Saccharomyces cerevisiae S288C: one gene and its partner. The protein of the gene in region 2 purifies or fractionates together with the protein of the main gene of each other region. This does not show direct contact. Each region holds a gene or a part of one and is shown on either strand. Other genes may lie near its edges. The genes, in order: VTC5 and YLR001C.

What was found.
Region 1: the proteins of YLR001C (region 2) and VTC5 purify together in Saccharomyces cerevisiae (affinity purification with mass spectrometry, with the first as the bait; one large-scale study listed by BioGRID). This does not show direct contact.

Annotation. Positions count from the first base shown.
Region 1 is NC_001136.10:620,174-637,080, reverse strand, and holds VTC5 (Vtc5p), read right to left. Parts: upstream 14,970-16,907; coding exon 12,360-14,969; downstream 1-12,359. Other genes in the region: aminophospholipid-translocating P4-type ATPase DNF2, read right to left, coding at 961-5,799; E2 ubiquitin-conjugating protein UBC13, read right to left, coding at 6,476-6,907, 7,176-7,205; RLI1 (Fe-S cluster-binding ribosome biosynthesis protein), read left to right, coding at 8,547-10,373; ILT1 (Ilt1p), read left to right, coding at 11,083-12,015. UniProt on the Saccharomyces cerevisiae protein: Regulatory subunit of the vacuolar transporter chaperone (VTC) complex.
Region 2 is NC_001144.5:142,957-159,534, forward strand, and holds YLR001C (uncharacterized protein), read right to left. Parts: upstream 11,022-16,578; coding exon 8,433-11,021; downstream 1-8,432. Other genes in the region: SFI1 (Sfi1p), read left to right, coding at 245-3,085; H3 histone acetyltransferase RTT109, read left to right, coding at 3,335-4,645; dynamin-related GTPase DNM1, read left to right, coding at 4,934-7,207; NOC3 (Noc3p), read right to left, coding at 11,387-13,378; CMS1 (Cms1p), read right to left, coding at 13,899-14,774; THI73 (Thi73p), read right to left, coding at 14,978-16,549.

The DNA of each region.
Region 1 (16,907 bases), on a different chromosome or scaffold from region 2:
TTCACTTTGTAGAAGCAAATACTTTTTAAACGCCCAACAAAGAAACAAATAGTGAAAAAAATTGAAAATTGGAAAAAATTGGGAAATGGAGGTTAATGATGAACAGAAAGGAAAAACGATGAAATATGTGGTGGGCAAAGAGTTTCTGTAAGCAAGAGACTTAGCGAAACAAAAAAAAAATACAACTGGCCAAACGTATTATTACTTGGCTATTTTCTTCCTAACAGACCAACTTCTTTTGCCTTCTGTATGGCGGGAGGAGGAGGGGGGAGGTTTTCTTCTTGTTTTTTCCGTTAACTTTTTCCCGATATGCGTAGAAGGATAATAATTTCAAATACACAACTCACACACGCGTTTGTACTTCTACCTCAACACAAACGATAAACGTTAAAAACTTCTCTTCAGTAAGTAGTGGTAATAATCCTAAACAGAGAGAAAATACTGTTTTCTTTTTCGGTTTGCTATTTTTACCTTTCCTTTCCTTTCTCTTTGGTGAAAAACCGGATCGGATGTAAACGTAAATGCCAATTCAAGGGACCTGTAAGACAAGAGAATGCGAAGCGGTAATAGTGGCAGTTGTAACCATTTTCTAGTCTTTCTCCGTAAAGTAGTTACTTGCCACAATGCCGCCATAGTGCGGAAAACAACGAAATATAATTCCTTGAAGCACAAAACGCCACCCCTTCCCCTTGCCCTTGCCCTTGCGGACGCCCTTTCCCCTCAAAATTTTTTTCATATTACGTCTCCGGCTTCGCTCTCTTACTCTTGGCGCCGGGCGGACCCCGGCAGGAAGGGGAGAACCCAGCCCCTTCCTACTCAAGGCTCTGCGCGGCGTTTTCTCCACACCCCACAGGGCGGGGTAGAGCCGTGCCGGGTGATACACATCATCACATCCTATATGAAATCTATATCATATCACATTGGTATACATAGTACAAAGGAAGAAAAAAATTGTAATCATTAACGGTCCCTGCTGCGCTGGCTGAGCAGCGTCTCTGCATGATTGATACCCGGCAGATCCAGCGAGGCACGTGCTCTTTCCACGGAGTATCTTGTGTCCAGTTGGTGGTTGGCAAGCATCTCTTCTCTTGTGCGATCCAGCGAAGTTCTGAGCTTATTTCCGCGGGCACTGGCCATTGATCTTCTAGGCAAGTTGTTCGTTGTTGTAACGGGGCTGAGCTGGTCACGGCGTTCCAGAGTGGTAGAGACACGGTACCCCTTGCGCGAGCCTTGCTCACCATTGAGTATACTCATTGGTATTTCCTCTGTGACTATGGTCTCTTGTGAGTGGCTGACACCATCAAAATGAGTGTCCAGTGAAATGGGCTCTTTGAAATCTGTAAGGGGACGTATTTCGTTTATTCTGGGCCTGCTAGGGTCCGTAGGGTCGTAGCCTTGTGGGTAGAGGTCAAAATCACCGCGTAACCACATTTCTCTAACGATCTCTATATCTTTCGGATAGAATATCTTTCTGATACAGTCAATGGTGAATCTTGGCAGTAGGCAGAACAGCACGCCAACGAAAAGTACTGCCCAATAGGCAGGTTGTGCGAATACACGCGCCGCACCCTTGTAAAATTCGTTACTTGACGACGAGCTTGTCCATATACCCGTCCAGCCGTAAAACACGGCCAGTGATAGACATATGAATAGGCCACAGAACCAGTCCCATCTATACTGTTCCATGAAGACGTAAAAGTTACATGAAGTGACTGCAATTGCTGTAACGAAGACACCGACAAAGTAACGGTGGTCTAGTCCAAGGCCATTTTCAGTTACAACCATGTTTTTATGGTACGCCAAATAGGGGAAAAAGAAGCATATCACAGATTGGTATACACCATCCAACATGTACCAAAGAAATTTGGTTTGGTTCCATTCTTTTCTTAGGATACCCACACGGTACAACTGTGGCACCAGCATCGAAACGGTGTCGGAAACATCTTGGTCGAGTACTGCTAGTAAAATAACAGGTACGGATGTGAATGCAAGATTGTAGAATGTCAAGTACGTATACTCAAACAAATACGACCCATCGAAATTATTGTAAATACCATACCAGAACAGGGATAGCGTAAAAATAACGTTCTTGTAGAAAAACTGTGGGATCATCTCTGCCAGTCTCTTATAACACCATTTACCATGCACCAATACCAGTCTTGTCACATATCTGAACTGCCCGATGGCATAATCAGAACACATGACAGCTTGTCTGCCTTCTTCACCCGCGATACCAACACCAACGTCCGCCGATTGAATCATGGCTACATCATTCGAACCATCACCAATGGCCAAGGTCATAACGTCTAAGGTCTTTTTTACCAACTTGACCACTGCAGCCTTTTGTGCTGGAGAAACTCTGCAACACAAAACAGCTTTACAATTCTTACACAGTAGCAAGAACTTGCGTCTCATTTCTTCACCATTCAAAGCAACTTTTAGCGCATCGCCATCGATAATGACAGCAAAATTTCCCTGTGGCAAACCATGCTCTCTTTTAGCTTCTTTTAACTCCTCCTCGGATCCACTCATGCCAAATTTTTCCCTTAAGTATTTTGTCACCAAATTGTTAACCACTTGAATAGGGTCACTACCAAATTCTTCTACATCTTCGCCGGAAGCCTTCACAACCAATAATTCCATATCATTGTTCAAAACATTGCAGGAAAAACCAATGTTAATGGCAGTTTCCACTTTATCACCCGTTAGGACCCATAACTTAATACCGGCCTCGGCCAAGAGGGCAATCGAATCAGGAACACCATCTTGTAAACGATCCTCAATGGCCGTACCACCAAGCAAAATAAGCTCACGTTCAATAACGTCAGTAACTTTGTCCAACTCTTCCTCCCTATTAGTAACGGATGCAGCGGCCACATCATAAGTCTTAACCCAACGTTCATACTCGGACCACGTGAGCTCTCTTTGAGCCAAACATAATGTTCTTAAACCTTCTGTGGCATATTCTTCCAAATGGAGGGCCGTCTTTTCCAACAAAGTAGCGTCGTTTTGAGTGCGATCTAATCTTGAATAGATAACGGAATCCGCACCTTTACATATTAACAGTGCTTTAGGTTCATCCTTTGGTGTAGAGCCAGGGATCTTGATAATGCAACTCATCCTTTTTCTCGACGAATTGAATTCAAGTACGTTCAGAACTTGGAACTCCTTTTGAACACCCTGGATCTCTACTATCAATCCACTTTTTGAACTACCAACGAAACTGTACCCTAATTGTCTGGCGGTGGAAACTAAGGCAGACTCATCAGGTGATTGAGCCTTGATGTCCAGTTTTTTAGGATCATCTTTATTTGGCTCCACAAGGACAGAATGACATAATGCGAGCGCCAGCAAAAAGTGTTCACAGCACTTTTGTTGATGGTCGCCACTGGATCCTTTCAAGTCTTCCACAATTTCCTTAGATACAAAAGTTAAATCCTCCGGACAAAACTGTGTATTATCACTCATTGATCTTAATTCGTCGATCATTGTTTCCCTATCTTTTGCTATCTCTTCCTTTTCGCGACGACCTTCCGATTCGACATCAACACCTTGTCTCTTCCTCAGGCCTGCTAGTGCCTCCGTATAGGCACGTCCATAAGACACACCGTTAATAGTACATTTTTTGAATTCCATCACATTTTGTGTCAAGGTGCCTGTTTTATCTGAAAAAATATACTCAATTTGACCCAAATCATCGGAGATGTTCCACGACTTTGGTGTACATGGATAGTCTAGCTTGGCATTATACAACAAAACATCAGTGTAAATGAAAATAGCCTGTGCTGTCTTAATAATTTCCACAGAAATATATAAAGAGATCGGAACCAATGACTGATAAAGAATAACCGCCACCCAAAAAGAAACAAAACCGTTAGTTGAGGCAGAACCTCCAATGGTACCAAATTCAAAATAATCTCTCGATCGAGGTTTCTGTTTATAATAAACACCGTTAACAATACCAGCAGTGAAACATAGGATAAACAATAGTACAAAATTCAAAATCACAGAAAAATTCAACTCTCTTGAAATTCTGGATTTTTTGGTTGGAGTGACACCAGCGTTTATCATAATCTTGGTATCGTCACCAGTAAAAATAACCATACCCATGGCCCACTTAGTGTTTCTCAAGGTACAACCTCTCAATAATAAGTTATTGATATTTACAGGCTCATTTCTGATGTTTCCATTTTGTGTATCTTGCCATTTGAAATTACCTTGATAAGAATACAAGTTGGCATGTGGGCCTTCACTTTCAACCCAAAACTTCGTCCTGGTAATATCCCTTGAACTCTTAATAATCTTGCTACATTTTAATGATTGACGGACCTTTAGATTTGTTTCACCATCCAAATTTTTGGTTTCCACATAACAAGCGCCATCAACATCTGATGTCGATAATAAGATCATATCAGCAGGAATTTCATCGTTATTGTGAACACGAACAATATCACCAACTTTAACATTTTTCCAGTAATCCTTGGCAAACCTACATTCAGGGTTTGGCTGTAGCGTTCGATCAACTAAATTTTCACCATCGTTATACCTGTTAGCCTGTGACATTGTTTGATTCAGGTTCTCATAATCCAAAGAGGGACGACCAAAGTCGGCAGACATTCTGTAACTACCAATTGAATCCAGAGACCCACGTGGCCCAAAGCTTCTCGAGTTCCTCTTCCTTCGTAATTCTTCCCTTTTTTTCTGTAACTTCTTTTCTCTACCAGCAGCAGTGAGGTTTTCTGAAAAATACTCAAAAATTTTAATCAATGCCCTTGTATTCGCTTTCTTGAAACGCCTCCATAAGGAAACGTTATCAACAGCAACATTTTCATTCTTCACCCCGCTTAAGATATGTGTTCTTGTATTATTAACTTCTAAATCCAATACAGTCCTTCTGGAATCTTCGATACCATCCTTAATAGCAGTGATAATTACGATGACAATTAGGGGAACGGATGCAAAACCTGGATTTGTCACACCAAATATTTGAAAAGCACCTAGAATCAACAGTATTAAAAAGTAAATATTGGCAAAATTATGAAATTGGAAAAGAATGTTCTTGGGAAAAAATGTTAATGGAGTATACTTCGTAGTCCTGATTTTATTACGCGGGTAAACTGCCAACGGTAAGCCGTCCTCGTCAAGCATGTCCTCCGGCAAGGGTAAATTATAGTAAACTGTTCTCAACTCATCAGACCTATTTTGCAAGGCTGAATTTTCGAGACTGTCTTCTTTTGTACTGAATTCATCAATAGCATTGTGGAAGTTCTTCTTGGCCCATTTCAATGTTTTTGACCTATTTATATCTATCCTACCTGACTTATTTCTTCTTGTACCAAAACGTACTCTTTTCAACTTATGATCTGCCTGGGAATCATTGTTGCTACCTTCATTGTTATCCAACTCAACATCCTCAAAGCCTCCAGTATTAGGCATAGGTGTTGCCTGGAACGAATGGAGGTCATCATCCACCTCATTTTCGTGTTCATGTATCTCGGTTTTTTTACCATTGAGTTCATCATCATCATTAATATCATTATCGTTACTATAATCATCGATTCCATCAAAAGTAACTTTTGAGAGATCGGGTGTGCTAATATCTTTCATTGGCTTAGATTGTCGCTTCAAAACAGAACCGCCGGTTTTCGCTACTTCAATATTTCCATGCGCACTACTGGGTTTTTCAAATTGAAAACTATCGTCAAATGGTGACATGGACGACAGACCATTAGATGCTGATCCCGATTCATGCTCAATATCATCCACGAAGGGAGAAGTGGGTTTGGAGGGACTTGACATATATGTGTTGAGTTTATGCTATGATTCTTTTTAAAGAATTCTATTATTAAAAGGATTAGGAAAAAAGGAACAAAGTACGAACAATGTGAAAGCAAATAGAAAAAGAAACGGATGGTTTTTTAAACTCTCTCAACGCTCTTGCGTTTAATCAACTCTTTTGATTAATTTGTTTCACCTGAGACTCTGTCACAGCAGAAAGAAGCAGCGAAAGTAATACTAAGAGGTAAACCACCGAGTAAGCGATGAATCTGGTTTGTCTATTGTCTGTCTCTATGCAATAGCAGGTAAGATCAACAAAAGCGATAATAACAAGAAATACATTAAAAACTTTATGATCCGGAATTAAACGTGGACCCTCGAGCGGACTAATGCTTACATTAGTGTAGGACGGTCGATCCCGGCTTCCATGGAACGGTTGAAAAATTTGGTGCGAAAAAAAAAAAAAAAACGAACAGGGTAGGAAAAAGTAAACTAAAACGCGTCTAGTAAAAATCTGGCGTAAAACTAAAGGTAGAGAAAACCATTTTAGCGACGCTACATTTTTGAGAAATGCGCCTCTTTAGATGACCATCTATGGTTTTTGCATTTATCGTAAATTTTTTTTTTTTTGCAGCAGCAGCAGCATAGTAATGATATATATTTATATATTCAGTTGAGAAAACTTATACAGAAATGATCACTCGGGTTTCTTCTTTGCATACAATTTCGTCCATTCGCGAGCCTTAGCTTTGGCACCTTGCTCATTCTTTATCCAATCTTCAGCGACGTCATTAGCTAGCGGATCATTAGGATTAGGGCTAGCCAACAGTGCTTGAATGGACAGCAGGACGGTTCTGATCTGTAAAGCGGGTGACCAATTAGTTTTAAGCACATCAAGACATATACGGCCCAACCTATCAATATTGGGATGATATATCTTGGTTAAAAAACGTACTTTCGGTGCTTCCATTGGATAGTCGTCAGGCAGATATAATTCTAATTCGAAAATACCGTCTTCATATGGTGACTGTTCTGGGCCTTCGATTGTTACTTGGAAGTAACGTAAGTTGTCGTCATGTGGTTCTGCTGTAATGCCAGGTACTGGGTCACTTACTAATTTCTCAGTTTCCTATATGAAAGTTCACAAAGACTTTGCGTTTTCTGCCCTAGTAGTTTGTTCTGTTGAATTCCCTCCATATGAGCGTTTGCGGATATGGACAAAGGGAAGGCGGAACGCTGCTACAAACTGGACAAAAAAAGCCTTCTTGTTTTGGAAGTTTTGCGTTAGTATGTAAGTTCTAGCCATTATCAAGAGGAAACAGTGTAGAGTGTGACGGCTCAGACGAAAACGTCACTTCAGATTTCGTATATAATCCACTGCTCTTGTTTGAACATACCTTGATTATTCTCTTGGGTAATGATGCCATTTCTAACTATGTTACAATGAACCTGACCTTATTTGCTAATATTGGAAAAAAAAAGAACAGAAGAGTGTAAAGTACTATTCTCTATAGAGGTGTTTTGGTTCGTGGTGGCGCGCCATCTTTCAATGAATCACTTATCCTTTGTTTTAAAAACACCATAATTTCGGGTAACAATACGGATGCGGCATAATTAACTGAACTATTCTCTTTGATGGTTTAAAGGAAAACAAATTCCTGTTAGATGCCCATTATATTTGTTCACATGTAGAGAAGGCAAAGAAAAAACTGCTTATTGTACTTTGGTAATTTTTTAAATGATATTTAAAACGTTAGTATTTTCTGTTCCCGCGGCTCCCGCAGAATCTAATCATTAAGCTTGACTAGTATCAAGCTTTTTTCCTTCTTGTTCTGCATTCAAGTATTTGTTGGTAGTATTTCTAGACATCGAAAAGCTTTTTTAGCCCAGAAAAAAAGAGATGAAACGCTTAAATATCTCAAAATTAACATGAATTTATATTCTGTAAAAAAAGTATCGTCGCAAAATGAGAAATTAATGTTTAGCGATCTAATAGTGATCTTGAATATTTGACTACTTTGTTTGGATAACTTTTTCAGCATTGTCAGCATGCCCAAGAATAACGATTATTTTGCATCCAGATAAATGCTTCCAAGAACCTTTACTAGTTTTGTTTCTTGGTTTTTTATCGTCTAAATAAAAAAAGACGTCCTTGTTAAATTTCTCCCCAGTTGAAAAAAAATGTCTTGTGGCCTATCATGGTTTACTACAAACTGAATTGGAAAAGGATTTTCCTAATAGTTTGATGTCATGTAAAACGCCCTCGTATCTGCAACGGAAATACACAAATAAAGAAATATCAAATTAGCCGCCGACGTGTCATTTTCGTCGTTGTTGATGATCAAATTATCACAGTAAAAAATAGTACGGAATAGCGTACTTGAAAGGAGCATCGTTTAAAACACCGCGGAGGATAAGAAAGAGCCGGTCATTAGCATCCTACCCTTCACATAGTAAAGACTGAACATGACTATACGCTGCTTCAGTCACCTGTTCATAAGCAAATACCATGGATAGAAAAACAATCTCTTGTTACTCGTGTGCATCGAACCAGATTTCTAGCCGGGTAGTTTTGCAACTGAAAAAATTTTCTATTTTTTTTCTCAATCGCATCGCTCGCTAGCAAAGTGAAAGTGAAAAAAAAAAAATGTAAAACTGGGCATTAACCTTTATTGTTTCTGTATTCTTAGATCTTCATTGTGATCTGTTTCAGCGCGAATTCCACCTAGCCTTCTGCAAAAGTTCTTAAGAAAACACGACAGACCATAATGAGTGATAAAAACAGTCGTATCGCTATCGTTAGCGCTGATAAATGTAAACCAAAAAAGTGTCGTCAAGAGTGTAAACGTTCGTGTCCCGTTGTGAAAACTGGTAAATTATGTATTGAAGTCACTCCAACTTCAAAAATCGCATTCATTTCCGAAATCTTGTGTATTGGTTGTGGTATTTGCGTTAAGAAATGTCCATTTGATGCTATTCAAATTATCAATTTGCCAACTAATTTAGAAGCCCATGTAACTCACCGTTACTCTGCCAATAGTTTCAAACTGCACAGATTGCCAACACCAAGACCGGGTCAAGTCCTTGGTTTAGTCGGTACCAACGGTATTGGTAAGTCTACCGCCTTGAAAATCTTAGCCGGTAAACAAAAACCTAATTTAGGTCGTTTTGATGATCCTCCTGAATGGCAGGAAATTATTAAATATTTCCGTGGTTCTGAATTACAAAATTACTTCACCAAGATGCTGGAAGATGATATCAAGGCTATAATCAAACCTCAATATGTTGATAACATTCCTCGTGCTATTAAAGGTCCGGTTCAAAAAGTTGGCGAACTTTTGAAATTGAGAATGGAAAAAAGTCCTGAAGATGTGAAACGCTACATCAAAATTTTACAGTTGGAAAACGTTTTGAAAAGAGATATTGAAAAGTTATCTGGTGGTGAACTGCAAAGATTTGCCATTGGTATGTCATGTGTTCAAGAGGCTGATGTTTATATGTTCGATGAACCTTCATCTTATTTGGATGTTAAGCAACGTTTGAATGCCGCTCAAATTATTAGATCTTTACTAGCTCCAACTAAATACGTTATTTGTGTTGAGCACGATTTGTCAGTTTTGGATTATCTTTCCGATTTCGTTTGTATCATATATGGTGTTCCATCTGTTTACGGTGTTGTTACATTACCAGCCTCTGTCAGAGAAGGTATCAACATATTCTTGGACGGTCATATTCCTGCTGAAAACCTGAGATTCAGAACTGAAGCTTTACAATTTAGAATAGCTGATGCTACCGAAGACTTGCAGAATGACTCTGCTAGTCGCGCCTTCTCTTACCCAAGTTTGAAGAAAACTCAAGGTGATTTTGTTTTGAATGTTGAAGAAGGTGAATTCTCCGATTCCGAAATCCTTGTTATGATGGGTGAAAACGGTACCGGTAAGACCACTTTGATCAAATTACTAGCTGGTGCTTTGAAGCCAGATGAAGGACAAGATATTCCAAAATTGAATGTTTCTATGAAACCACAAAAAATTGCACCAAAGTTCCCAGGTACTGTCAGACAATTGTTTTTCAAGAAAATTAGAGGACAATTCCTAAATCCACAGTTTCAGACTGATGTCGTTAAACCTTTAAGGATTGACGATATTATTGATCAAGAAGTCCAACATTTGTCTGGTGGTGAATTACAAAGAGTCGCCATCGTCTTGGCATTGGGTATCCCAGCAGACATATACTTGATTGATGAGCCATCTGCCTACTTAGATTCCGAACAACGTATTATCTGTTCTAAAGTTATCAGAAGATTCATCTTACATAATAAGAAAACTGCGTTTATTGTCGAGCACGATTTCATCATGGCTACTTATCTTGCTGATAAGGTCATTGTTTTTGAAGGTATTCCTTCCAAGAATGCTCACGCAAGAGCCCCTGAATCTTTGTTGACTGGTTGTAACAGATTTTTGAAGAATTTGAATGTCACCTTCAGAAGGGATCCAAACTCCTTCAGACCAAGAATTAATAAGCTAGATTCCCAAATGGATAAAGAACAAAAATCATCAGGAAACTACTTTTTCTTGGATAACACCGGTATTTAAGCATCTTGGGATTCGGAGAACCAAGAGGACGATTGTTTTATTTTTGGGTTTAGAAATGTGGAGAAATAATTAAGAGTTATAATGTTTTTGCAAAACAAAATGAGTATTATATTACATTGAGTTCCTTCCCAAGCATCGGGTTGTTTATTTCTAGATATACGCCAACTAATACATTTCTAACTTCCCACCTTCATTACATCATAACCTGAAAGTGAACAACCTCCTCTTCGGTGATCCGTACTCCAGTTTATTTCATTTTTCTGTAAAGCAACTACACTATATTTATTCTCTATTTATTTTATATACCTATTGTATTTTAATTAATCGTTATTTTGTCCGCACCTTCTTCGTAATCGAATTTACCTTGTAAACGAGTCGTCATGATAAGCATTTGCTGCATTACTGAACGTTTATCTTAGCATGACATTAAAGTCCGTTTGTCTAAAATATCACCCAATTATTTCCGCGGTGTGAGCGCCAGATAAGGTGCTTCGGGTAATATGAGAACGCCGTTTCTTGATAGCATTTTTCAATGACTAGATAGGTAGATTACCTCTGTATCACACTTCTCGTACCAAACGAAACTCATATAAATAATGCTTTCCTTCTGGTGCCTTCTACTTTCCGCTGATCTCTATTTTCAAATTAACCGCTGAAATATAAACTGTGGAATACTATAACATAACATAGATTTAAGAATAAGGTATTCATGATCTCTGAAAAGGCTGCTACCGCTTTAGCTACTATAGCAACAGTTTGCTGGTGTGTCCAGCTAATTCCGCAAATAATATATAATTGGAAAAAAAAGGACTGTACGGGGCTGCCACCACTGATGATGTTCCTCTGGGTTGTTTCCGGAATTCCATTTGCCATATATTTCTGTGTTAGTAAAGGTAATGTCATTTTACAAGTTCAACCACACCTTTTTATGTTCTTCTGTTCTATAAGTTTCGTCCAATCGTGTTATTATCCACCAATCAGTATGGCGAGATCCAAAATAGTAATGATTGTAGCTGCTATTATTGCGGCTGATGTTGGCATGGAAGTTGGCTTTATATTATGGCTGAGGCCCCTTTACGAGAAGGGTGTTAAATGGCCCGATCTGATTTTTGGTATTTCTGCATCTGTTTTGTTAGCTGTCGGACTGCTTCCACCTTACTTTGAACTAGCCAAAAGGAAAGGTCGTGTTATTGGCATCAACTTTGCCTTCTTATTCATCGATTCATTAGGTGCTTGGCTATCTATCATCAGTGTTATCCTAGGTAATATGGATATTATGGGTATTATATTATACTCAATAGTTGCTGGAATGGAGTTAGGAATTTTCGCGTCTCATTTCATATGGTGGTGTAGGTTTAGATTCCTAGCTAAAGGCAATACTTTTGACGAAGAAAGTGGCCAAGCTCAAAAGGAAGAACCCGATGAAAAAATCGAACAAGATATTAGCAAGAGTGACCGAAATGTTACTAACTATAACCTGGATAACTGTTCAATCCCCGACGATGCTTCGAGCTTTGCAGACGATTTTAATATATACGATAGTACTGATGGGGGGACGTTATCAAGAGCCCAAACATTGCATGCTGTCCATGGAGTTGTGGTTAGAACAGATCCTGATCGTTATTCGAGGCTAAGTGTGTAACGAATCTGAGTCCTTTTTAGTTAGCACGTTTTCATCTCTTTTTGATAGCACGCTTAATAATATTCACCACTAGCGCAGTAATATGGCATCTGCCGCAGGTGTAAAGGTTTTCACTTCGCTTATATTCACAATACTATGCGTTCAAACACGGCCATCAGAAAAGATCAAAATAAGGATTATTAATTAAAAACTTAAACAGAAATTCAGTTTGCAACACCCTTCGCAATGGCGAAGTTTCCAAAAACAAAATCTCCAAACAAGATTAACATTCTTCTTATGTAACCACATGATATGCATATTTTATATAGACTGTACACATGAAAAACTTTTATCGTCCAAAATAATTAAAAGAAAATTTCAATCATACCATAGCACACTGTTCCAGTAACTGAGAAAAACATTGTGAAGCAACCAACATAATGCCAGATTGGCGCCAAAGTGAACCGACTAAATAACAACAACAGGCACGCACAGATCAAAATAAGGGAAACCAGTAAGGAAATGATAATAATGGCTATGAGAATATTTTGAATTTCTAAATCTATCTCATTATTACTTTGCCCGCGAAACAAGGATAAAACGATTCCCAGACATACACTTGCCATAATGCAAGATGTTAGCAGTGCAGACAAGTATAAAAATGTAACAACTTCGTCATGCCTATATTCGTAGATAGATTGTGAGTCCTCTATGTCTTGCTGTTGATACTGTAAGTACCTTTGAACGTCATCATATGACGCTGAAGTTGATTGTGAACCAAATGACGCAACAGAACCATAGTTAGTTGATGAACAATGCGGATGCTTAGAGTTTTGAAACAAATCTGGCGATGTTTTCTTGTCATGGCGAATCAAGTTTCGTAACTTCTCACAAAAATCATATGTGCGGTTGATGAAATTCCGGCTAAACAAAATAAACCCATAATCAGGCGGAGAATTTCTCAAAAGTAAGGATTCTTCGTTATCTGTTGTACTCCTGCTTCCATTAGTATCAATGTAAAAAGCATTGTCTAAATTATCCTCTTCTTGTTCATCAAATTCATTCCAATACCTAATAGGTTTCTTTTTAGTTTCATTATCCGATTGCTTTGATTTTTTGTGAATTCGAACTCTTCTGCCGCTGTCAACACTACCTTGTGAGTTGTTTATCGGCCCAGTCAGGTCAAACTCTTCCTCTAGACGATCCTTGCCCAGCTGGAAAAATTCATCAGGTGATAGCGAATCATCGGAATTTAATTTATATTGATCTCTTAGTAAAAGTTGAAATAAATCATTTTGCAATTCATTTGAGTGTACTAATTCTAAACATATTTTCCATGTGGTTAAGTCTGGTGGTATTAAGCTGCATTGAAACTCATTTGTAACAACTGATTTCATTAACTGTTTAAACTTATTGTCTTCATTAATAGCCGTCTGTGAAAGACCACTGGATCGACTAAGCTTTTTAATTTCTAAAATTGGAAAGGGTAATGTAGATACATTTCCAATAGTGATAGATTCATCCAAAGCTATCAAGTATATATCTCCATTGTCTGCTGATATGAATCTTGTTCTTTTAAAATCTAGCTTTGGTTCAATGGTTTTTAATCGATGGGACTGAATCCACTCCAAAGCGATCTTACTGATTGGCGATGGATCCAGTGAGTTTATGAGAGCGCTAATATTTTTTGTGTCGTTGCCACTCCTCATGGCCGAAAGAATATTCTTTACATCCCTTAGAAGCAGATCATTTGTGACAACATGATTTCTTAAGCCGCCCACGTGGCACATTACTATACAAGTATCCTCAGCAGTAGAGCTGACTATCATGTTTGGGTGCTGATTTATATTATCATCAGTAAGTAGTAAAGGACTGCCTTCGTTCCCGACAGTATCTAGTATACTAATAGAAACGTACTTCTCATTGGATTGTACAGCAGAGGGTAATATGTTCTTCTGTTTAGATAGGGATAAGGTATGTTGTAAGTCATTGAATGACTTTGCTGATCTTATAGATTTGTTGCCCGCAGAATTAATATTATCTGTAGTGTCTAAAATCTCCTTTGAAGTGGATATGATGCTATCGTCAATTATCCTAAAACCAATATTCAATAGCATGAACTTCAGTCCCTCTATGTCCTCGGACGATAATAAAAACCTTCCTAGATTCTCTGCTTTATCTATGAGGGCAGTATCGAATTCTAGCGAAGAATCAATCATTTTTGAAGTTTTCTTGTTTGAAAGTAGCGGAATTGACCTTGGAGATGCTGGCAAGGAAGAATTGTTGGCTTCTGGACTTGAACTTGTATGGGCAGATTCATCGGAGCGGTTTAGGGATCTTTGCTCCACTGCTGGCTCAGTTGCATCTTCAAGTTTATTTTCCAAATCATGTAAAACATCAACAATTAGCGAAACTTCTAAAAGATATGGATCTAAATCAAGCTTCATAAATGATATGCCTTCGTGTCCATTTCGTAAACTTTCAGAGTTTCTGATCGACGTAACATACTCACTTGCAGTCAATGGATTTTCACTGTCTTGAGGAAATTCATTTAGTAATTTTTTGAATAACTTTCTCAAGGCAATCCTTTGTATTATCAAAAACCTTGACAGTAGTTGTAGTTCAAAGTTACAATCGTCTACATGAGCGTTGATGATTTTCAGTTTACGAAGGTTGAAACGGTTTCTGGAAGTTTTGTTTAAGCCCTTTGAAAAATCGATTATTGATGATTCCACAGAAAGAATACGAGTGGAAATTTCCTTTATTTTCAAAGAAACAAATAAATTAACATTTTGAAATTCCTGGTCAAAGGCTACTGAACATTGATTCAACAACTTCTCCATGCCCGAATCATTTGGATTGTCATAATCATAAGCCGTTACTTTTTTTATGGCTACTTTTAACTTCTCATAGTTAATATTGTAGAATTTCCATTCAGGGATTGATTTATTCAATATGCGATCTTCAAATTTCATGATTGTACAACCCTTCGTATCTATCCTTACCTAGGGCTGAGATGGAGATATACAAAAAAAAAGCAAAGGTAAAAAGCAAGTATTAAACTCTATCTCTATTATATTCAAGAGGGCAACGGACGAACTATTAATTTATGAATTTTAAAAGTCCTTTGATAGCGTTCACGATAGGGCTTTTTGATCTTGCCTTTGTTTATCTTTTTATCTGTTTTGTTTTTTTTTTTTTTTTTTTCTTGGTTCAGTTTTGACTCTTCCACACACCCATTTCGCTAGCGTAGAACAAGGGGAGACACAAACTTTCTTTTCCTTGCAAGTTAATAACACAACACCCGTCCTCCTGCACTGAATTTACACAGAAGTTAAGAACCGCCTCTGCTTTTCTGGTATTATTTTGCAGCCTTGCCTAAAAAAAGTGTGGTAATTTTTGAGAATAATATATTACTGTGTTTTTCGAAACGAAAGTTCTGAATATTGGCTTGGTCGCTTCCTGATATCTGGAAACTTGTTTAATGTTTTTAATTATCAGTCTTCAAAGCGTCCTGATATGACTTGCCACGTTTCCATCCATTCTATATGTAGTTTAAATACAATGAGATAAAGGGTGCCTGCATGGAACTTTCCATTCGAAAAAAGAGATCATAAACCTTATCTGTCAAATAAAAGCCAATCTATTTGATTAGGTAAAAAAAGTGATGTCAGACCAAAGTGCCCCTCTCCTGCAATGATCATCGATTACGTACGGGTGTAATGATCACGACAGTAAAGTGAGCAAGGTAACTACTATCCCTAAGTGCGGCGTCATTGTAAGTCTACGACGTAGCATATTCAGTTTACTGTACAAGAAAAGTTTTCTCTCTGTAACAAGAGGAAATTGGTTAGCTTTCTACGCTTACTTCGTTTGGTACGATCAGTAAAGGTGAATAAATTAAGATCCACGCCTTCATATGGCAGGATCCACGATATTCCTTGCAATACCCCTGGATAATTCAAAAACCAAATGTTACACGGTATACTTGAAAATCGATACCATATTAGGAACACACCGGCCAAAGGTTGATAATACTTGGTATGAGATAAAACCCGAGCTCAAGGTTTAATGTTAAAATTTTTTGTATATATATATATATAGTAATGGGCTCGGTTGCAAATTTTTATGACTATCTTGAAACTAGTTGAAATTGCAAGAACCGTCACTCTATGGAGTACATGAACAACTAAAAAATAGCTTGAAGATACTTGCCACTCCATGCCATTTCTAGAAAGGGGTCTCTTGAGAAATGTGTGTTAAAATAACGGTTATATAGTTGGAAAGAATATTACTATTTTGCGATTAAGGGATGCCGTATGGCAGGCAAGGAAGTATTTGATCAAGAATACCGATTAATGAAGCATGTTTGCCATTATCGTTGAACCTTGGTATTTCTCAGGTTTCCTTATCGATACGATAGGAATGAGAATCAACTAACATTTATCGACTACAATTCATTATTACTACTATATTATCAAATGCTCTGCAAGGAGATGACCAAAAAGAAATGAGAAACAGTCTTCATCTCAAAATATAGGCAATTACCAGGTATACGATATTTCCTCAAAATGAAAATGCCTAAAATACGACAGAAAAACTTAGGGTGACGACTTTTTAACTAATCACTGAATGCAGCCGAAGCAAGTAATTATTTCCCTCGTTGCTACTCATTGAGGCCGCTCCATATGGAGATTTGAAAAAGGTTCTATTGATTCTTTAACTGGTGTCCATCCCCATGAGAACGTTTTAGTTAATTAACTGCTGGTAAAATAAGCGATAGTTGGTATTTTCAAAGGAATATGAGAAATGCGGGAATACTAGTTAGTAGACTATATTAAAACTTTGTTTCAACAGAATAATATATAGATACAACAGGGCAGTTGTGAAGATTGGCAAATAAATCTTTAAAA
Region 2 (16,578 bases):
AACCATACATATATAGAACCATAGAACCACGTTTTTGTAATGAACAGTCTACCTGTATCTCATCATTTTTCTGTGTTAACTATTATTATTATTATTATCGAATGGAGGGTAATATTATGTATAGGTAAAATAAATAGATAGTGCCATGATGCGCGAAGATTGGCAATGGGAAACTCAAGAAGGCAGCAACAAAAAAATAAAGGTGGCCTATTAATCACAATCTATTGCCTATATGTGCTAGGTTATGGGCAAATTCGGCACGACAAATAAATCAACGGAGAATCTTCTGCGTGATAAATTCGTACCCGAGACATCTCCAACTAATATTCCCACTGATGTACTCATCAAGCAAGGGCAAATAACGGATTCCACCGAATCACTAATTCATGGAGGCGCAGAAAGGTATATTGTTAACGCTTTAAAGCCTATAGAATTAAATAAAACTGAAGGCTTTTTCGAAGACCCGCCGTTCCATCTTCCTTCTCCACCGGTTGATTCGACAAATCTGGAGTATGAAGACGTTACCGATCTTCCTAAGAATGGTTTACGATATGATTTGAATGATATATCCGTTGAGGTAATCGAAGATTTATACCGCCAGATTGAAGCTTTTTTGGTTCATTTCAAACTATCCAGAAGTTTTTTACAAATTTTCAAAAACTATGTCAATATTCTTATTCAAGAAGGCATCAATCCTTTACGCGATGAGTACTTCACAATATTGGAAGATGAACTGAAAGGTTTTTTCACTTTCAATTCTGTTATAGAAGAGATTTTAGAAATATTTTTAATCCACCCTCGCAACAAATTCATTGCATTGTCCCTTGCAGAATATACCTACGCTAAGAACAAAATCAGAAGACATTTTAATCACTGGAAGACTGTATGTGAATTGAATGAAGAGGCAAACAGGTTTGCAAATCAAGCAAAGCTGAGGGTACAGGAAGCCGTCTTCTATATTTGGAGTGATAAAACATTAAAATACTCACAGATGGCCAACGATGAAGCTGAAAGTTTTAGGAATACTTGGCTACTATTTCGCTCGTTCCAACAATGGATAACTTTAACACAAACTCTTAAGGAGCAGTCAAGGTTAGCAGATCAGGCCTTTTTGAATAAGATGTTTAGGAAAATTTTAAAGGCACAAGAGCATTGGAAACACTTAGAAACTGTTAACACTGACAACATTAAGAAGATATTTTTACGAACAACATTTCATATATGGAAGCTAAGACATAAAGAAATAAACTACCACGGGTTGGAAAGAAGGATTTTCGAAAGAATAAAACAGAAAGTTATAAACTATGAATACAATAAGAGCATTGCAGAAAAAGTGAGGTCGTTTTCTCTACAAAGAAAATATCTGAATAAATGGGAAAAGAAAAACATTGAAAACGAAGATAAACTTGGGGCACTTTATGAACTGGAGAATAAATTCATCAAACAAAAGTTTTTTCGCAAATTAAACCGGTCATTTCAACATAGTCAACAAGAGGCAATTGCAAAGAGTAAACTAAATCAGACACTTTTGAGGTGCGTTTTTGAGAAGATGTGGCTGAAAAGATTCGAAGACCATCTGCATTTGTATTCAATTGTAAGTCTAAAAGAGGCTAACCTCGTGAAGCGTATTTTTCATTCATGGAAAAAACTTCTATATATTGACCTCAAAGCAAGCGATTATTCGAGGACTAATTTGCTCAAGTCATCATTGCGAAGTTGGAAACTTGAAGTAAAGTTAAAAATATTTGAGCAGAAATGTAAAAAGAGTATTCAAGCAAGCGCGTATCGTACATGGAGGAAAAGAATACAGTATGGGAAAATATCGAGCGAACATGTTAAAACGGCATTTTGTGCAAAATATCTTGGTGTGTGGAAAAGGAGGATGCTACAAATGAATTCTATGAATGACGAAGCATCCAAATTTTACGAAGAGGGTCTCGTAAATGAGTGTCTAGCTATATGGAAAGAACGCCTGATTAAAACTAAGGAATTGGAGGATAGATACAATTTCTTATGTAAGACACATGCAATTTTGACTGTAAAACGGACGCTAATGCATATTGATAATGTTCATTTGCTATATACGAAACTGGCGCCCTCTATGGATAGAGTAAAGCTTTCTAAGGCCTTTTTAAAGTGGCGGAAAGCCACAAGGTTCAAAGTCAGGCATAAGTTAAACGATATTTTACACGTTTATGAAAAGAGTAAAGAGCGCGAACTTCAAAGCCAACTGTTCAACGCTTGGCGAAATAGATTTTGCTTCTACACAGAAGAATGTAACATTCAGGCTATTTCAAAGAGAAACTACCAGCTTGAAAAAATGGTGCTGAAGAAATTTAGAGAAAGACTTTTAGAGATAGTAAAATCAGAAGAATTAGCAGACGAAGTTCGCGAAGAATTTGTGTTAGTCAAGACGTTTTATATTTGGAAAACTCATCTAGACGAAATATTTTATATGAGTACATTATTGGAACAATCGGAAGCTAATAAACAATTCATAATTACATCCAAATTCTTGAAAATGTGGAGTCTTCGATTCCTAAAAATTAAGCGTAATGATGAGACAGTCGAGGTGTTTCGTCATCGGTGGGACAGGGCCACTGTAAGGGGATTGTTATTATTATGGAAAAATCGTTCAGACAGTTCTCCAAAGAGAAGGAAGGACTTCAATCTTAAACATGAACTAAAAACTCCCATAAGATCAGACTCTCAAAACGCCTCAACCATACCAGGCTCAGAAAGAATAAAGCAGCACAGAATGGAAGCGATGAAGTCGCATTATAGCAGGGCAAGAAGAGCCATACCAAGTCCGGTGAAATCTTCCAGTGTTCTTGATTCTACAGCTAAAAAACAGATCAACCTTGAAAGTACGACAGGCTTAAACGGATCTCCGACGCGAGGAAAACCTCTAAGGTATTCTCCTAGGCGTACCACTAGAAACATGCCATCCAAAGTTGACCATATTGATTTTGGCAGAATACCCGCTGTACCTTTTAGCCTAAGCGCCAATTCTCCTAAAATCGATCAAGATATGGATTATATAAGAGAGCATGATAAATCCCCGTTAAGTCGTAAACGTCAATAGATATATATATTATGTACGTATGTATGTGTGCATATGTAGTCGTAACCTTTCTTGCTTCTGAGATGCATACAATTACTAATAATATTCTCCAGGTCTATGAAAACATCACAACATACTATACTTTTCGTGTTCGCGTTGTAAGCTATAATGGAAAATGGACGCCATAACGCATTACTTAACAAACTACAGTTTGTCAATAGAGTTGTCCAGTAGAGTTAAAAGGTCAATTCAACCGGTCTTCAATAAGACATGTCACTGAATGACTTCCTAAGTTCCGTGCTACCTGTCAGTGAACAATTTGAATACTTATCGTTGCAATCTATTCCGTTAGAAACCCATGCTGTCGTAACCCCAAATAAGGACGACAAAAGGGTCCCAAAAAGCACGATCAAGACTCAACACTTCTTTAGTCTATTTCACCAAGGAAAAGTTTTTTTTTCATTAGAAGTGTATGTGTATGTCACGCTTTGGGATGAAGCAGATGCCGAACGGTTAATATTTGTATCAAAGGCAGACACTAATGGTTATTGTAATACGAGGGTAAGCGTTAGAGATATTACAAAAATAATATTAGAATTTATATTATCAATCGACCCGAATTACTATCTTCAAAAAGTAAAACCGGCAATAAGATCATATAAGAAGATATCCCCCGAGCTGATTAGCGCAGCCAGTACGCCAGCAAGAACTTTAAGGATTTTGGCTAGAAGGCTTAAACAGTCAGGCAGCACCGTTTTGAAAGAAATAGAATCTCCACGTTTTCAACAAGATCTTTATCTCTCATTCACCTGTCCTCGTGAGATTTTGACCAAAATTTGTTTATTTACTAGACCTGCATCCCAGTACCTCTTCCCAGATTCTTCAAAAAACAGCAAAAAGCATATACTAAATGGCGAGGAACTAATGAAATGGTGGGGCTTTATTTTGGATAGATTACTAATTGAATGCTTTCAAAATGATACACAAGCAAAATTAAGGATACCGGGCGAAGATCCTGCTCGAGTAAGATCATACCTAAGAGGGATGAAATATCCACTATGGCAAGTGGGTGATATATTTACCTCTAAAGAAAATTCTCTTGCGGTATATAATATTCCATTATTCCCAGACGATCCTAAGGCTAGATTTATACACCAATTGGCAGAGGAAGATCGCCTCCTCAAAGTAAGCTTATCATCCTTCTGGATTGAACTACAAGAGCGTCAAGAGTTCAAATTAAGTGTCACATCATCTGTAATGGGTATTTCGGGATACTCTCTTGCCACTCCATCTTTATTTCCATCTAGTGCCGATGTTATTGTACCGAAGTCAAGGAAGCAGTTTAGGGCAATCAAGAAGTACATTACTGGAGAGGAATACGATACAGAGGAAGGCGCAATAGAAGCTTTCACCAATATTCGTGATTTTCTATTGCTCAGAATGGCAACAAATCTTCAATCTTTAACAGGGAAGAGGGAGCATCGGGAGAGAAATCAGCCGGTTCCTGCAAGCAACATCAACACGTTGGCGATAACAATGCTAAAACCGCGTAAAAAAGCTAAAGCCTTGCCTAAAACTTGATACATATTGATATTTATTATTTAGTACACGTATGTAGCATCGATCTTAGAAAATGCATGTTTGTATTTATTGTTAGTACCTTGATCGCCACCTTTCTAGGTAATGATAGGTCCTCAACTTTTACTACGCGGTGCACGCCTGTAAGGTCGGGCAAAACAAAGTGTGGGAACAATAAATAAGAGGGTAGGATGAAATATTACCTTTACTCTACTGCTCAGGTTGGCCACAATTTGCTAAAGAGTTTATCATTAAGTAGCTACCAGCGAATCTAAATACGACGGATAAAGAATGGCTAGTTTAGAAGATCTTATTCCTACTGTCAACAAGCTGCAGGATGTTATGTACGACTCCGGGATCGATACACTCGATTTGCCCATTTTAGCTGTTGTTGGGTCACAATCCTCCGGGAAATCCTCGATATTGGAAACGTTAGTTGGAAGAGATTTTTTACCTAGGGGTACTGGTATTGTCACAAGAAGACCGTTAGTTCTTCAACTTAATAACATATCTCCAAATTCTCCTCTAATAGAGGAAGATGATAACTCAGTTAATCCACATGATGAAGTTACAAAAATATCAGGATTCGAAGCTGGTACGAAGCCCTTGGAGTATAGGGGCAAGGAAAGAAATCATGCAGATGAGTGGGGGGAATTCCTGCATATACCAGGAAAACGGTTTTATGATTTCGACGATATCAAAAGAGAAATCGAAAACGAAACAGCGAGGATAGCCGGTAAGGATAAGGGCATCAGTAAGATTCCGATTAATTTGAAAGTGTTTTCCCCTCATGTTTTGAATCTAACGCTAGTAGATTTGCCTGGGATTACAAAGGTTCCTATTGGGGAACAACCACCTGATATTGAAAAGCAAATCAAGAATTTGATCCTAGACTATATAGCCACTCCAAATTGTTTAATCTTGGCCGTCTCTCCAGCTAACGTTGATCTTGTTAATTCTGAATCCTTAAAGTTGGCCAGAGAGGTAGACCCTCAGGGCAAAAGGACTATTGGTGTCATTACCAAATTAGATTTGATGGATTCTGGGACTAATGCTCTAGATATCTTGTCTGGAAAAATGTATCCTCTGAAATTGGGGTTTGTTGGTGTAGTGAATCGCTCGCAACAGGATATTCAATTGAACAAAACCGTTGAAGAATCATTGGACAAAGAAGAGGACTATTTCAGGAAACATCCAGTCTACAGAACTATTTCAACAAAGTGTGGTACGCGTTATTTAGCTAAATTGCTAAACCAGACATTATTAAGCCACATTAGAGACAAGCTTCCGGATATTAAAACCAAGTTAAATACCCTGATCTCTCAAACCGAACAAGAGCTCGCTAGATACGGTGGCGTAGGAGCTACTACTAATGAAAGCAGAGCTAGCCTTGTTCTTCAACTAATGAATAAGTTTTCTACAAACTTCATTTCATCTATAGATGGTACATCCTCCGACATTAATACGAAGGAACTCTGTGGTGGTGCCCGTATTTATTACATTTACAATAATGTTTTTGGGAATTCTTTGAAGTCGATTGATCCAACTTCTAATTTATCCGTTCTTGATGTTAGAACAGCGATTAGAAATTCTACTGGTCCCCGTCCTACATTATTTGTACCTGAGTTGGCTTTTGACCTATTGGTTAAACCTCAAATTAAACTTTTACTAGAACCATCTCAACGTTGCGTCGAGTTAGTTTACGAGGAGCTGATGAAAATATGCCATAAATGTGGCTCCGCTGAGCTAGCTAGATATCCTAAATTGAAGAGTATGTTAATAGAAGTTATAAGCGAACTACTTAGAGAAAGGTTACAACCTACTCGCTCTTACGTTGAAAGCTTGATTGACATACATCGAGCCTACATCAATACTAATCATCCTAATTTTTTAAGTGCAACAGAAGCAATGGATGACATCATGAAAACGCGTAGAAAACGGAATCAAGAGTTATTGAAAAGTAAGTTGTCTCAACAGGAGAATGGACAAACCAACGGTATTAATGGTACTTCATCTATCTCTTCGAATATAGATCAAGATTCTGCTAAAAACAGTGACTACGATGATGATGGTATCGACGCAGAATCGAAGCAAACGAAGGACAAATTTTTAAATTATTTCTTTGGCAAGGATAAAAAGGGTCAACCTGTGTTCGATGCATCAGACAAGAAAAGATCCATTGCCGGTGATGGAAATATTGAAGATTTTAGAAATTTACAAATATCAGATTTTTCACTGGGCGATATAGATGACCTTGAAAACGCTGAACCTCCACTGACCGAGAGAGAAGAATTGGAGTGCGAATTAATTAAACGTCTGATTGTTTCATACTTTGATATTATAAGAGAAATGATTGAAGATCAAGTACCAAAGGCAGTTATGTGTTTACTCGTCAATTATTGTAAGGATTCTGTTCAAAACAGATTGGTAACCAAACTCTACAAAGAAACACTGTTTGAAGAACTTTTAGTTGAGGATCAAACTTTAGCTCAAGATAGAGAACTATGTGTGAAATCACTCGGAGTTTATAAAAAGGCTGCAACCCTTATTAGTAATATTCTGTAATTGCATAATTCATCTCATTTTTGATCTTACTTCAACATTGCGGGCGTGATTATAGGTCAGTGTTTATTCCTTTACTCAGTTGATGATTTCAAATGTGCTCTCCTCTCCATTCTTTTTCTTGTTAATAAAAATCCATAACTAAATAAATAACAAATATTAGCAATCGCAAAAGTATTAACTAAGCTAGAGAACCTTCACTAGAGAAGCTCTACCTAAAGGTATAGAACAGGAAAAAGTGTTTTTATTTTGGCGGACTTCGTGGAAGATTGCCTTCCATCAATAATAAGCGTAGTCCATAGGTACGATCATTTCCTTTTTAACCGTTAAGCAAGCGACAAGATGTATTTTGTTTACCAGCGAATGCTCTTATTTATCTTCTGCGCCTTTCCAATAATCTAATTATCAATGCTACGAATGATTATAGTTTTAACTAGATGAACGAAATTTCTAGGTTATTAAAGAGTACGTTATGCATCAAAAGAATATCAGTCATAATAAGCAGATAGACCTTCTACATGGTTTGTAGACAACCAAACTGGTGTATGCTAATATCAACGAGTAAACGCTTACTTTTCTAAAGTTGAATATTTGAAGTACACACCCGCGTAAAGAGTTTTTACCCCGAAAACAAATTTTTATGCTTGAAAAATAGCTAATAAAATGTTTTTATTGTTCGGATAACAAATACAATAGTGTTATTAAAAAATAAAACTTATTTAAAAATAGTAATTTAAATTATTATTTTATTTTAATAAACTTTTTAATAATATTTATTACACGTGATTTAATATATCCTGTTTTTTTTTCATCATTCTCTTTCTTTCTTATGTTAACCTCGTACTACAAGTTTTCTCCTTATAAAAAGCTGACTAAAATTAGAGATTGATAATCATAAATAAATTTAGTAGCCATTTCCATTTTTACATTTTGATTTAATCGACACTCAAAGTTCTTATTTGAAAGCTAGTTTAGAACTTATTTGTTTGCTCCTTGATGAATATAATGAGAAGAAATTCCACTCAGATTAAATATGAAGATTGTTAACGGCAAGACGCTAAAAGAAAAGGAAAGGAAGTAGATGATGGCAAATAAGGTCACTTTCTTGTTAGTTACATATACTTTCACAGAAACTTGAAAATAACCACAAAACTTAAAACGAACGTTATTTTGTTCAATTGCTTAATTTGTGAAGATATTATCTACTACTTAAATGATATATTAACACTTATGAGGTACTGACACTGCGACCGCCCTTTTGATCTGATCCCACCCTTCGTATATCTCTGGGGGTTTGTATAGCGTTCACAGAATATGAACCTTCAAAAGTGGGTTGAGAAAGTGGTGATAAATGCGCTGTTGCCGAGTAAGAAGGGTTGTGGATTATCGGAGAGTGTTGAATCAGTGGTGTTGTTGCTCGATCATTTCTCCCTCTTTGATTTTTGTCTTTTACTTTTCCACCCCTGGTAATTATTATGCAAAACAATAAAGAAATGGCTATGGTAACACCTATTATAACCCCAAATCCAACCGCTATCCCTGGCAAGCGCAGATGGTATTTCTCGCTGTTTAGCCAAGATAAGGATATGGGTTTGTCGATCAGAAATATGCATGAACTTTTCAAATTAGTAGTGCATCCTGTTTTAAGAACTCTAACTTCCTTGGTCCAGTCGCCCTGTATGCTAACAAAAACGTTGTCCAGATGATCTTTTCTGCAGTTTAGTTTTGTACCTAGTTTAGTGCTAATGGAGCCATTGCAGTCTAGTAGGTTTTGCGTTACATTAGCAGGAATCAAATGGAGTTCGAGGAATTTTCTTAAGTTTGTCGAGTTCGCCGTGATGCCACTTAATGGAATAGAAGAAGCCGTTGGAACTAAAAGCGAGTACTCTTCGTTATTCCAAATGATTGAAGAAAGGTCATAAAACAAGTTAAAAAAGTCAAATATTTCTTTTGTTCCAGTAGTTTCTATCAGCTCTTTTAGGGATATCTCCAAATCGACTGGAAAATCCAATTGGTCTATAGGATGGATAACTCCCTGGTTGAAAAATATATCGGAACTCTCCTCAATAATAATACTTTCCTTTATAGTACTCACTGAGATTTTCGTAAGGTTTTGGCTTCCCACAATTTTTTGTACGCCAATAGATACAGAATTTCCGTATAAATTCTTGACAGTAGTCGAAATACTATAATTGTTGGAATAAATAAGGTCTTCGAAGATTAGGTTCCTCATAAGTAAATTTAGGGCGGTTTTGTTTGACCTCAAATAGTCTATAGTCAAATCATTATTGTCCCATGAATTCATACATGGAAGAAGTATCGTGTACCCCTTATGATTTGATGGTAGATCCAAAAGGTTAAGTTCCTTCAAGAGCATTAGGGAAATAGAACAGTGGTTTTCTGGTGCTAATGACAACACTAAGTCGCCCGGTAATTGAAGATCATCGTCAATAGAATAAATGGACGTATTACCAATCTCATAAGGTTTTGTGTTTAAAATCTTGAAGCGACCATTGATGTAATAACCTTTATTAGACCTTGTGATTTTGAACTTTTGGCAGTGTCCACCTAGTCTTTTAGCTGAAGAGCAAAAGGCGGAGTCATAAATTTGGGTAGGTGCGTATTGAATCGGGCGCAATGAGGAAAAGTCCTGTTCAAGGTCAATTTTACCTTCTACAAAATGGTACAGAAGTGATGGTTTTGTGTACCCACGATCCTCATTAAAAGAGGCTTGTGGTACAAATATGGTGATTTTCCTTCCGTTTTGAATGAATTTTTCAAGGTCTCTGAAGTATAACTCCTTTACGAATTCTGAGCAGTTCAAACCGTGCAAGTACTTTTCAGCATCAAACTGTATATGCGTTCGTAAAAAGTCTAAGTCAGAAAATCCATGCACGACGCCTATTTCAAAAATTCTGTTTGATATGGGTGAGTAATCTGAATTATTTACACTTACTGATGTACCTTCTGAATTACTCTTCATAAAAAGTTTTCGATTGTTTTTATTTTCTAAAATTAGTTCCTTGGGTAAAATACCACCATACACGTCATCAATAATGAGTTCTTGAAGAAGGGAAGTTCTATCTGCGGCCCATTTGGCCTGAGAAATTGTATTAGATTTACCCAATTTATTATATTTGTCAAGTAGATAGTTTATTTCGATTGTATTGAAGAATTTTCGAAAATTAACATCTAAGGGCACTAAAACTGTGGATGAGTTTGTATATGCATTATAGTTTGAAAAACTGCTGATAAAATCACTAAATATCTTTAAATCTTGGGTTTCTTCATCTAGTTGTACCAGCAACTCATTTATTTGAGGTTGAATTAGTAAAAGATTGTTAATACCTTGTAATGAAGCATTCTGGAAACTAGGCAGCAAATCGGGTTCGACAACAGCAATTTCATTGACAAAGCAATGGCGCTCATGCTTTCTCAGCAATAAAGGTGCTTTTGCAGCTCTTTTCTCCAGGTAGGTACCGTTTTCAAGGTCTCTCACTTGCAATACCCTATCATGAATAAGGAAATCTTCAATATGGAAATGCTCCTCAAATTGGTCTGTGGTTTGGTCCCCCTTAATAAATGCTGAATTAATCGGAGCAAAAAGTGTAAAGTTCTGTAGCTCATTTAAGTACTGTACGTGACCAGTTTTCTGAATAATCCTTAAAAAAGTTGAGAATTCAACATTTTCTGAGAGGATATCTATTACTGTGCTAAATGGAAAATCGTCCCCTGGGTTTTGTAGAAGTGCTTGTGTAAGCCCTAATATCGGCAGTAGCCAAAAAATGTATTTAATTGTTTGGATTGCCATGTTCATCAAAGGGCTCCGTTTGATTCAGTTAATACATGCTGTCACTCACAGCAGCTTAGATAAGAAGCCGTTTTGTCTTATTTTCTAGGCCCTTAATATACGCCTAATGGGGAAGTCCGACCGAACAAAATTCTCCTACCGGGTTTTCACGGTAATGTTCTTCCATAAAAAAAGACAATATAGTAAGCTGTTAATATTGATTTGGTGAACTTGAATCTGATATTTGTTTCTATTGCTTACGTATAATACTTTTGCGGTAATTCATTCAAATTTCATACAATGCTAATATTTATACAATTCTACTCGACACGGCAAAAATGATTGGCTAACGATAATCGTGGCTCTTTATATACTTAATATATAGGATCTAGCTATTTAGAACACTCTTTAGATCTAGATGATAGAGAGCGTAGCCCCTTTGTAACTACAGGACAATAATGCTTTTCAAGAAGAGCATTATCCCATAAGGTTGCTGCCTCTGGGTTACTCCTTGAAGGATTATCGGCTTCCATTATGAAATGACCGTTGCCTATTCTATCCTCGGAAGAGTAAAGGCCTGAAATTTCTGGATATCTATTCATTAATTTATCAATAAATTTAAGAATGGCAATACTTGTTTTTTCTGGGGTATGGCTGATGCACATGTACAATCTTTTGGTAAACGCCGTAGCCCTTTCTTTAGTCCCTGATTTAGAGCGGAAAAATACATGGTCCAGAGCCTTTAGCAGAAGTTCTGCTTTGGTAGAAACGTTAACTGATGGTTTTATTATTTCGTTATTGAGTGGGTCAGCCAACCTTAGCGATCTATAAGATAATTCGATGTCTGCATCAAGACAGATATAAGGTAATAGCGCGTAAAGCCCATCGACGAATTTGGACAAATCCACATTAACTTTCATATATTGTGTATTTGAAATAAGTGAGAATGCACTAACGATACAAAGCAAAGCCTTACGGACCTCAGCAGAGGAAAGGTTATCGAATTCAGTGTCACTAATAAGTTCTTTCATTACTTCGAGGAAGTCCCCTAATAGATCAAAGTTGGCCATATTACCAAACTTCGTTAGACCTTCCAAAACCGATCCAATGAGTGTTTTTGCATTGTTTTTCAAGATATTCAAATATATAGTGAAAACGATTTTTAGAATTTCGGATTGGTTTCTTTCTCTTTCCTCCGCAGAAACAGCTTGCTCAGCGTTACGCATTTCTTCCTCAATTTGTTGCATCTCTTTTCGAGCTTTTCTTTGCTTCTTAGAAAGATGGACCCTATCTTTCTTTTTGAGCTTAGGAGCGCTAACGTTACCTTTCAATTTAGTATTAGGGTCATAGTCATGTAAGACATCTAACGATAATAACATATTTAAAACAGATTCTTCGATGTTGAAGTTCCTCGTCTTTAGTATTTTGTTGAAAATTCTTAGTATCTCGAATGATATTGAGCCCTCTTCGTCCTCATTTAATAGAGTTTCAAATGTCTGGATTATTTGAATGGAAGTTGGATCTGTTGAAATTCTTGGTTTACAAATTCTACGCAACAGTAAAGTGAAAATGTCTGTTCTAAAGTTGAAATGGGATGCCGTTGAAATCAATTCTTTTGCGGCTTGAGTGGCCAAAATCCCTAATGAAACCTGTATAGGAGCAGCATTACTGGGAGTTTTTGAAAGACTCTGTAATCTTCCGACGTAATTTTTGTAGTTATAAACTAAGGCTTGCTCAAAGTTTCTAAGCTTGGAGACTTCTTTAGAAACTTTTTCCTTCTTTTCAGTTTCAGTTAGTGGTCGAATTCTATAGCCTGGTATGATACTCTTAAACACGGGGACCAAAGCCAACATGGAAAACTTACAAGTATTAGGATTTTTAGATTCCACCATTTTACATAGACGCCCCAACGCAGCAGTATTTTCTTCAGGCTCCTCCATAACTTTAGTGACTAAATCGGCAATGTCTTCTTTTAGTTGCAGAATTTTTTCCTCCGTATCAGGCTCATCCTCCTTTGCCTCTGCTTCTTGTTCTTCATTAGGTCCCTCATCATCTTCTGAAGAGTCATTAGAGTCTTCGTCTTCCTCATCATCGTCCTTTGGTTTTTCTTGGGCTTTATGCAATTTTCTTTCAACTTTACCGTTAACTTTTATAGGCAGGCCTTCAACAAGATTTGATGTATCAGACCGATTCTTCCGAGGAACCATTTCGTAATCCTGTTCTTCTTCATCCCAGGATGAGCCTTTTGCGCTATATATGGTATTTTCATCCATATCTTCCGGTGCATTTTGGAAAACATTGCCTTCTAACAAGGAATCTTCGTGCTTTCTTTTCTTTGCAGTCCTTTCCTGAATGCGAAATTGAGATCTATTTCTCTTAGCCATTATTACTATGATATCTCCAGCTTTTATCCCGGAATTATACTCTTATGATTGAAGACATAAAATGCCAAGTTTATACCATGAAAATACTATATATGGCAGGCAGGTGAATGAGATGAGATAAAATTTTCAGTTTTCGGGCATCGCTGAAAAAATTCAAAAACTAAAGTAAAACGACGTCCCATGGTCTACTCTACGGTGAAGAAAATGAGGGAAGACATTGAATTTCTGAATCTAAGTAACTACAAAAAAGCATACACTCCATGGAAAGAGTAAAATAGGATAAATTGGTTTTATGTAGTTAAAGAAAAAATACATTGTTATATATGGAGTTTGCTGCGCGCCTAGGCGTTCTCGAAGTTTCTCCTTTGATTTTACTTTTTGGAAGGGCTTTGGACAATTTAAAGAAGATAATTTGAAGTACCCCATCAAATGCTAGAATGAAATATTTAATATACTAAATTAAGGCTGGTATTTAAAAACGTAATCTTATGTGTAGAACCTCAGTGAAAAAGCGCTATTATTAATATAACAGTATTTTCACGGAGCTTTTTTTATTCAAAAAGGTTTTCAAGACTTGGCAGAGGACGGCTGCATTCTCGAATGATAATATAGTATTATCCTTAGGATCTAAATAACTTGCATCAAGAATGATATCTAACTTTTCCTTACCTTGGAAAAGTAAGTCAGTAGCTTCTATAATTTTCTGCATTCTTGTTGGAGTGGCAATAAAATATAGTGAATCTTTATTTTTGTTTGATTTTTTAGAGCTGTCAGTAAGTAAACGTTCCACGGTGGCTATGTCATCCTTTAGTTTACTTTTAGAGAATAATTTGACGCAATTTTTGCCACCGTTTAGACTACGATAAACGTCTGCTACTCTAATATTAGACATAGAAAAAACAATTTTTTTTGGAGCTACGGAAAATTTTTGAATAAAGGCTGGGAAATTGCTTAATCTGCGTTCAGCGTCAAATTTTTCTGTCGAAAGAAAATCATTTCTTTTGAAGTAAAGTTCCTCTAATTCTAAAACACTCAAGTCAGGATTTTTTTCTCGTATCAAAGTTGTTAGGTACTCAATAATTTTTTCTGGTGAACTTGCTGGAAGTGCTTTTCGTTGTGAGACGATATACTGGCTTTCCTCTTTCTTTTTCTCAATTAGCTTTGATTTTTTCTGTAGCTTTTTCTGTCTTTTCGAAATAGGTCTATTCGAATCATCTTCTGAATTTCTCTCCTCTTTTTTCCCATCTATATCATCAACGTCATCGTCATCTTGTTCTATAGACCTCTTTTGTACCTTTTTGGTTGGGGGACTACCATCCTTGGCGTCAAAAATTACTTCATGTTCGGCATCAAAATCATAGGCGAGTCCATCATCTAAATCATCTGGATTAGACATTTTCAGCTCAATTGTCCTGACGATATGTTTAGAAGTTAGTAGCGGGGATCAAATTTCGACTTTCATTGCCTCATCCATGGTCATCTCAAAAATTTTCTCTTCAATTTTTTGGTAAATACCAAGTGCAATGAATGTTTGGGTGTCTTTGAATATTGAATATTACAGACTAAAAATATTATATATTGTAAATTAAAAGTTGATTATTAGTAAATGTACCTGAAATTTCTGTTTTCGATATCAGTCAAGTCCAAAAATTGGTACTTCTTCCTTTCTTGACCTTCTTGTTCCTTATCACGCTTTTCGTTCTCCTTCTTGCAAATGTAGCCAATGTATAATTGTAGGGGAACACAAACACACTGAGTGACCAATAAGGCAATCTTTGCTGGTATGTAACGTGGAGCAGAGTATGCCCTAAACATCTGTGGAGCAATAATACAGGAGACATTGTATACAATCATTGTAATAGCATTTCTAAAAACTCTTTTGGTGTAACCGGAGGTGTTGCATGAATTCCAGATGTAAATATTGGTAATGACACAGGAACCACTGTAAAGCAAGTACAGAGAAAATAAGTTACCGATCTTATGGGATAAGGGTAAACTGATAAGAACGATACAACCTATAATAGCTGGAATATACATAGATGTGGTTATGAGTGTGATATGACCCCAGCGGGACAACATTTGAGTTGTTATAAGAATAATCATAGCCGTAATGGCACCAATAGGCAACTGCAGTAATGCTGTTTCGTACTTGTCGAAACCAAAAGTACCAGTGATGGTCACTGAAAATGTACCAATGGCACCAGTAGAAATTTGAGAACATGCAGTTAATAAAAGCATCGGCCAAGTAAACTTATCATGAAGGAATAGTTCTTTAACTTGCTGCTTCTTAAACTTCTTTGTTTCCAGGCCAGTTTGGTTAGCTCTGATATGCTCAACAACTTGAATTTTTTCCTCTTTGTTTAGGAACCAAGCATTGGTGACGTTATCTGGAAGGTATAAGAATGTTAGAACACCAAACGCAACTGTAACCAGACCAACGACCAAAAACATTATTTGCCAAGAGGTGAAAGCGGTACCATGATAATGTAAAAAGCCAAAAGAAATTAACCCGCCCACAATATAACCTGTACCAGCCTGTGTGGCCCAGAATCCAATTCTTGCACTCTGTTCAGATTTAGTATAGTACATACCACTAATAGCGATACAACCAACTGCACTCGAGGATTCAAAGAGACCTAGGAGAGTACGAACGACCATCAACGAGGCGTACGTCTTACAAGCAGCATGGCAAGCCAACACGATACCCCAGACGGTAATAAAAGTACCTAGGATTTTGGAAATGGGGAATTTTTGAATTAAGTAAGTGACCACAGGTTCCATGAAAATGTAAGCAGCAGAAAAGATAGTACCCAAATTAGAAAATTCGTTACCTTTCAAATGATCTTTGATACCCATAGATGCAGCGTAGTTCAGCAGAGCCTTATCCAAAAACATCAGAAGATATGTACAGCATAAAAAGGGCAGGATGAAGAGGTCAACTTTTCTCAGGACCTTAGGAGATAATTCATGGGAACCATAGAAGTTGGCTTCTTCGCCTGCTACAACATCGTCTTCATTAGCCGTGGAGCTTTCGTCGAGACCGTTCTGTTTCAGGAATCTTAAAGCAACGTCCGCATCGTCTACATTAATGCTCGAGGTACTTACGGAACAACTATCAGCGTTAGCTGCCTTCTTCTCCACGTCCATGGATCGTTGTGACATGTTTTTCATTGTATTGATTTGCTGACACTCTCACTACT